2 linked regions of the Xenopus tropicalis genome follow. The protein of the gene in region 1 interacts with the protein of each later gene in a pairwise test. Links are inferred from orthologs where the notes say so. Each region holds a gene or a part of one and is shown on either strand. Other genes may lie near its edges.

Region 1 (4,112 bases):
CACTACCCTAAAGGTGACCATACATGTTAAGATCCGCTCGCTTGGTGAGGTCGCCCGTTGTTCCTGCCCCTACACGGGCCGATAAGCTGCCGAATTGGTCTAAGGGACCGATATCGGCAGCTACAACCGGCCCGTGTATGGCCACCTTAAGAGTTGTTTCTGTATGGTTTCATTATACAGGAACCACTTATCTTCAGATTCTAAGTAACAAAAAATGTATTTATTACAGTAATACAGTAACCTTACTAAAGGAAAACACATGCATTTATTGTATCTATAGTTATTAAAACAAAAAACTGTCATCTACAAAATTATAGGAACTAAATATATGGCATTTTGTCCTGCATTCTTACTACTATTACTTACATTTAAAATATCTTAATCAGGGTTTATCAAACTTGTTCTCAGGGAACTAAGATTTAGCCTGGAAGTCAGGCTTGGTGTTGCTTCAAGAACTGGTTTAGAATAAATAATAATATATAAATTTGAATCAGTACTGCCTTTAGTAGGAAGAAAATTCACTAAAGGAAAAAACATAGAAAACCACCTCCCCCCACCAAAAAAAACCAGTCATCGATTTTGTTTTCCGACCTACAGTCTGAACGATGCTAAATATAACCAACAGAATCTTCCGTTTACAAAGTAAAAGCTATAAATATAATATAGGGCTGGGTGGAAGTATGTGTGTGTACTTAAGCGTTAATAGCACAGATACAAAGTTTGCTTGCAGATTTTGCCGGTGACAGGCCTCTAAACACATCACTTATGAAACTATCGCATAATATTGCACAAGTTTCAATAAAATATATTGTTATCCGGTAGTTTATAAAATACGTATCACTGCTGGTAACTCTACTCGAATAATTTTACCATAACAGTCTTCACCTCCGATTACAAATAAGGATTGTTCATTATTGCCTTCTTTTAACAAGGAATAAAGTTTTTAACCTACAACAAAAAAAAACCCTGTGGGCCCGGAACGTGTATTCCACTCCCGCACGAACGCAAGACGCCGCGTCATAACGGTTATCCGAGACAAGAGGTGTCGTCAGCATTTGAGTGACGGGAGTTACAACCAATCGATGTCACGTATTATCCTAGTATCACCAATCAGCATTTTGACTGCTTGACAGCTAACTAGAAAGTGCATAGCCAATAGGGGTGCATAATTGTGATGGAGAACTTGTCCACCCTATCACACACAAGATTTGTTTATCTTTGCGTCCAATACACTCTTTAACCTTTCCCGTGACGCTCCGCTAGTTGCACAGCTAGGTTCCGGTTGATCGGTTGCCATGGCGGCGGCTGCTGGCAGCCCCGGTGCGGCTTATGAGTGTAATATCTGCTTGGAGACAGCGCGGGAACCTGTTGTCAGCGTGTGTGGGCATTTGTACTGGTGAGTGGAATGTGATGTGTCTGCCCTGTAGGCAGGTCTCTGCTAAGCTTGTTAATTCTGCTTTGCTGAGACTGTGTCCTTCAGTGGGTATGTATTTAGTTTGCTGTAGGAATGCATTGTTAGGGGGTTCGGCTACGGTCAGAAAGCTATCAGTAAAGTACAAGACCGAAATATTCAGGAAAGCTTCACCCCAACTGAAACTGTTCCCCTATAAAGGACTCAAAGCATTGGATGAGGGGAAAGAATGAGGCCCAGAGTACTAGTTGGAATGTGTTGAATGCTCTTAGAACCATATCATGTGACCTGTAGCTACAGCATGTTAAAGGGTAACTAAAATGCAATATAAGTTGCATGTCATGAAAAACAAACCTTCTAAACGTATTAAAATTTGCCTCCATACAAAAACTATTTTTTTGCAATGAAAAAAGGAAAATTGTCTGCAATGATTTAAAAAAATAAAATAAAATAAAATAAAAATGGAGACCTTACTGTTACATTGTTTCAATGTTTTCTGTTTTTTTTTTTTTCTTGAAGCAGGAGTCTGATTATGATTGACAATCATGTTTAATACAGCTATTGGGTGGGGCTCCCATTGCCTGCCATAGAAGATGTATTTGAGTTAATTCTTTCATAAAAGCAGACTTAAGCACAAATAATTCATGTAGAGGATCAAGATTGTGTGCGAGTTGGTTATTTTGAAAGAGTGATTTCCTTTAGGCAATTGGAATGCATCCCCAATGATGAATTAGTCCTCACTGACTACTCCATGAACAAAAAAAACAGACTGAAGAGTAACTTAAATATTAAAGAAATAGTACAAAATATATTTTTTGACCAATCATATTTTCTTAAGATAAAGCTGATTTTTATTTTTGCATCAGTTCCCCTTTGACATTTTGTAATCTTGTTATAAGCAAATTTTAACAGGTTCTCTTGATGTATTTTCACTGTACCCTGCAATCTTCTATGTTTAACCCAATCTTACAGTGAATATATTAATCCTTTCACTTATTGAGCCCCTTTGATCCACGCCATGATTTGTGTTGTTGGATTAAACTGAAACCCTGGAACTGCAGATTCTACATTGCTGGTACATATGTGCCTGTGCCCTGTAGATGCTTGAAATTAAAGGTGACAATTAGAGGATCCTTTGATGCTTGTTCTAGAAAATCAATGTCTTCATAATTCTACAATTGAATTATAAACTAGGCTATATCTGCAAGCACAGCCATTTTAAGCACAAATATTCCAATAGAACCTGTAAGCACAGCTGGTACAATATTGTTTTTTGTCTTAGCCAAAGAAAGTGCATTTTGCTTTACATATTTCATTATATCATTAAAACTCACTTGGCTTAAGCCAGAAAACGCAAAGTATGTTCAGATTCATATGTTTAAAATGAATATTTTTTCACAAACGACCGCAAGGCTAAACAGATAATGTGTCCAAAGTATAAACACTGATTTGTTAGTGTAAACAGATTTTGTTTATATGTATTGTATGGAAGAGACGCTTGTAAAATGCCACTGCTTGTAGTTTCTGTATGTGTGTTTATATAACAACGCTGATCGTTAAAACTGCATTGTGTTCTGTATTCTGATGTTATGTTTGTGTTTTACAGCTGGCCTTGTCTGCATCAGGTATGTATTTATTAATAAAAAAGTAGAATGAGTTAAATTCTTCTTTAGCTTTGTAGCAGCAGCAGCTAGCAGTGCTAACGGTTTCATTCAGATCACATGTTCAGTGTTACAGAAATATTTATTTGTAATAAAAGCATAACATAGATAAACTACTGTAGTATACATGAAGGGTATTTTATTTGTTTGTAGTAGTTCAAACCGTTTGCATATTGACTGCAACCTGTTCATATAGTGAAAAGTATGTATGTATGTATGTATATCTTAATTTATAAAGCGCTACTTATGTATGCAGCGCTGTACAGTACAATACATTAATACAAACAGGGGATTATTAAATAATAGATAAATACAAAGTACAACAATAAATACAGATAGATACAAGATAAATACAGTTGCAATAAGTTAAGAGTCAAAGACACAAGAAGATGGAGGTCCCCGTAGAGCTTACAATCTATATGGGAGGGTAACTTACAGACACAAATAGGCAAATGCACTATAAGTGCTGTAGGTCACAGTGGGTGACACTACAATATAAGTGCTGATTCCCAGATCAGGTGCTGGGTGAGTGCTCCAAAAGGTAGTCTTTAAGTTTAATTTTAAAAAGACTGGGGGAGGATTCTCTTCGGAGGAAATCAGGGAGGGCATTCCAAATGTAAGGGGCAGCAAGGCAGAAAAGTTTAAGGCGGGAAACAGCAGTAGTAGTGGGGGGCGCAACCAAACGATCGCTCTGTGAGGAACGAAGGAGTCGGCCAGGAACATACAGAGACACAAGGGAAGAGATGTAGTGAGGAGCAGAGGAATGGAGGGCTTTGAAGGTTAAAGGAACAGTAACACCAAAAAATGAAAGAGCTTTAAAGTAATAAAAATATAATGCACTGTTGCCCTGCACTGGTAAAACTGGTGTGTTTGCTACAGTAACACTACTATAATTTATATAATAAGCTGCTGTGTAGCCATGGGGGGCAGCCATTCAAGCTGGAGAAAAGGCACAGGTTACATAGCAGATAACAGATAAGCTCTGTGGAATACAATAGTGTTTTATCTGTTATCTGCTATGTGCCTGTGCCTTTTCTCCT
Region 2 (3,399 bases), on another chromosome or scaffold:
GTTGGCCGCAGCGCCCCCCCCCCCCCAGCGCGTTGCATGTGTTGCACCCCGCCCCCCTCTGCCTCCGGTCCGTGGAAACAATTTTTTGCCTCCTACCAGGCCGTGGTGCTAAAAAGGTTGGGGACCCCTGCTCTACATTATACTAAAAGTTAACTCAAAGGTGAACAACCCCTTTAATCAGCTGGTTTACAAAATTGTTTTACGAGTAAGAAACAAACATGCAAAACATTCAGAAACTGCTTTTAATAGCATCTTTTAAATTTTATTTATCTGTTATTTATATATCTTATGTATATATAGCACCAACACGTTTAGGCAGAGCTGTACTGAGATTATACATGATTCACATCAGTCCCTTCCACAGTAGATCTTACAGACCAATTTCCCTATCACATTCATACACAACAGAGTCAATTTTATAAGAAGCCATGTTATTGGAGTATAGGAGGAAGCTGTAGTACCCAGGGCAAACCCACACAGAAACAGCAAGAACATACAAACTGTGCACAGATAGTGCCCAAGCTGATATAGAACTCAGGACCCCAATGCTGCAGTGCAGAAATACTACTTGTGCACTTTAAAAACCAAACTGTGAAAAAACACCTTTAAGAACTGTAGGAATACTAGAAGATACTTAGAATGCATTTTATGAGGACATAATTAGTACTGTATATTTGTATACCCTTTTGTTACAGGCTTTACTGTGAAACCCACCCAGTGATGCATTAATTATTCTCTTGGTACTAATGGTCTTATTCTCTCTGCCTTTTGCTTTTGTAGTTGGTGGGCACTGCTGAGTTACGGTGTTAGCATGGTCACCATTGGAACATTTATCTTTGGCCAGACCACTACCAAAGCCATCTTTGTGGATCTACTGGGATAATCTATGAACTTTGATACAAGAGGTTAAAGGAACTGTAAGGCATTACTTGAATACTGGACATCTCACATGATTCCTTTTTTTTGGTGTTCTGCAAGGCATTACTCAGACACAGTTCTAAAAATGCACTGCAAACAAGTTTTTTTGATTTGCTAATGTAAGCAAACCAAAAATTATGCTTATACATGCCAAGCATTAATCACTGTATAATTAACAAATAATTATTTAATTAGGACACAGGACCAACTACAGAGATATACATTTGCTACAGCAACACTTCTGAGAAGAACAATTTTAATATATATGTTAAGGTCTAAATAAGAAGATTGTCTTGATTGTCAGAAAACAAAACAATCTCATGTTATGATCAATGCACACTTTACTGTATATATTTGGGTTCAGTTATAGAAATAATTCAGAGGATTAAATGTTGTTGGATAGCCATTTTCTGTATAAACCCAGTGAGGAATGTGTAAGCAAACAAAAAGCATTACATTATCTAGAGATGGTTTGGGAATCATTTCTTACCAGGTTTACTGTTAAAAACTAAATATTCAACAAAATCACATAACTGTAGGTGCACTATGAAAGTTTATAATACATTGGTTTATAGGCAAATAGTGACACACTCCTGTTAAAGTCCAAAACATGTCACTATATCTTAAATATTTACTTCCTTATGAAAGTGGCTATTTCTATAGTCAGTCAGTATCATGGCCGGTGTGTCTAGCTCATTTCTATAAAGCCATAAAATTTTGTGTGATGAAATCACAGTTGCTTGACCAATGTTGAGCTGCCTTGAGTTGATTTTCAATGTGTTATTAACTAGGTGGAATATAAATTCGTGTTTGCAGAGTTATAGACTTATCAGTTCAAATTTGGCCCACAGCCAATCATTTAGATACCCCAAATGCTGGTCTGAATATATATTTAAAAAAAGCAAGACATGGACAGTTATTTTATGTGAAGTGTGTATTCCAGATTTCTGATACCCAGACATTTTGGTGCAGCCTATTGTGTTCAAGGTTAGGTTCTCTGATATTCTGGGAACCATCTTTTTTTTTTTTCTTGTTAATGTGCAATAGCATGTTTTGAAAGGGATTTGTTCTTGTATGAATAGAAAACCAAATGGAATATCTGTATTTTTTATTTAAATGTTTACTACAGCATAGAGCAAAGTGCATCCCCCTATCTGCTAGGAACATGGTTCATTGAACAGCAATATACTCCTGCGTTCCCCATAATCTCTGTAAAAACGGCTTGTTCAAATATTAGTTTCTCCATTGCAACATTTTAAGTTCTATTTTAATTTTTTTTTGTCTAAGTCACATGTCCACCTTAGTATATTGAGCTTATTGGCAGGAAGATCACATGAACAAGCACACAAAAGAGGCTAATTTATTGAAGCATGAGTTGTACCAAATACATGGCCTGTGCACAATAAGGGTACTGATTCTTAGGCTATTTAGACCAACAGAAGATGCTACTTTTTAATAGGTAAACACCACCAATCAAAACAATAAAAAACAAGTTTTTGCATGCAAATATACATGAATTTATATATAATGTCATATAGAAATAGCACTAAGCAATCATGTTAAGCTTATATGTAGAGTTCATTGCTAATAAGACTTAAAATTCAGCATTTAGCCTTATGTTAATTAACTATATAATTAATAATAAGTGGTGTCAAATTCAGCATTTACAATTTTTATACAGCCATGAAGGAAATCCATTTAACCTCATAATAATTTAGTTCATAGCTTTACTAGGATCCCAAGAAATGTGTGCCACTATGTTATCATTTGATTTTTAACAATTATGCTCTGTGGGCCACAAATGTGATACCTTTTTGGATAATGGTGTCCTGTAACCTGGGGACAACAGGTTGGGATTAGAGAATAGGTTTGTTTTTCTCGAATGCCCTGTAACTGGCATCCCTCCAAACCACTACTTCATAGAGGTCACTTCTTCTGTAGGGGCTAATTCTTTAAAGGAGCAGTTCAGTGTAAAATAGGTAGACTTCGCAAAAAAAAAAAAAATGTTTTTAATATAGTTATGAAGGCAAAAATGTAATCTATAAGGCTGGAGCGGGCAGATGTCTAACATAATGGCCAGAGCACTACTTCCTGCTTAACAGCTCTCTAAGCTGTTAGCAGCCAGTAACCAATCAGTGACTTTGGGGGGGGGGGCATATTGGACATAACTTCAGTTAGTTTGAATTTGAATCTGACCTGCTTGCTCACACACTAACTGAACAGTTGTGTCCCATGTGGCCCCCTACAATTAGTCACTGACTAACTTAGAGGTTAGAGAGCCGAAAGTAGTGTTATGGCTATTACATTAGACATCTGTCCACTCCAGCTTTATAGATTATATTTTTGCCCAACTATATTTCAAATATTTTTTTTATTTTGCTCAGTCTATCCGTTTTACCCAGTTTCATTTTTACGCTGAACTGTTCCTTTAAGGTTAAAAAAGGCACACATATTATTGGGGAATATATTTTATAACTTTTT

Evidence for each region.
Region 2: the proteins of rnf5 (region 1) and slc38a7 interact in binary tests that used the Homo sapiens proteins (3 or more experiments, as listed by UniProt). The two-hybrid records come from large-scale screens. The link is inferred for Xenopus tropicalis from reciprocal best matches to the Homo sapiens genes RNF5 and SLC38A7.

The regions. Positions count from the first base shown.
Region 1 is NC_030684.2:73,547,186-73,551,297, reverse strand, and holds the start of rnf5 (E3 ubiquitin-protein ligase RNF5), read left to right. Parts: upstream 1-1,282; 5' UTR 1,283-1,295; coding exon 1,296-1,396; intron 1,397-3,017; coding exon 3,018-3,036; intron 3,037-4,112. Other genes in the region: agpat1 (1-acyl-sn-glycerol-3-phosphate acyltransferase alpha), read right to left, coding at 953-1,055. UniProt on the Homo sapiens protein: Membrane-bound E3 ubiquitin-protein ligase that mediates ubiquitination of target proteins. May function together with E2 ubiquitin-conjugating enzymes UBE2D1/UBCH5A and UBE2D2/UBC4.
Region 2 is NC_030680.2:75,575,683-75,579,081, forward strand, and holds the end of slc38a7 (putative sodium-coupled neutral amino acid transporter 7), read left to right. Parts: intron 1-780; coding exon 781-883; 3' UTR 884-2,850; downstream 2,851-3,399. UniProt on the Homo sapiens protein: Symporter that selectively cotransports sodium ions and amino acids, such as L-glutamine and L-asparagine from the lysosome into the cytoplasm and may participates in mTORC1 activation. The transport activity requires an acidic lysosomal lumen.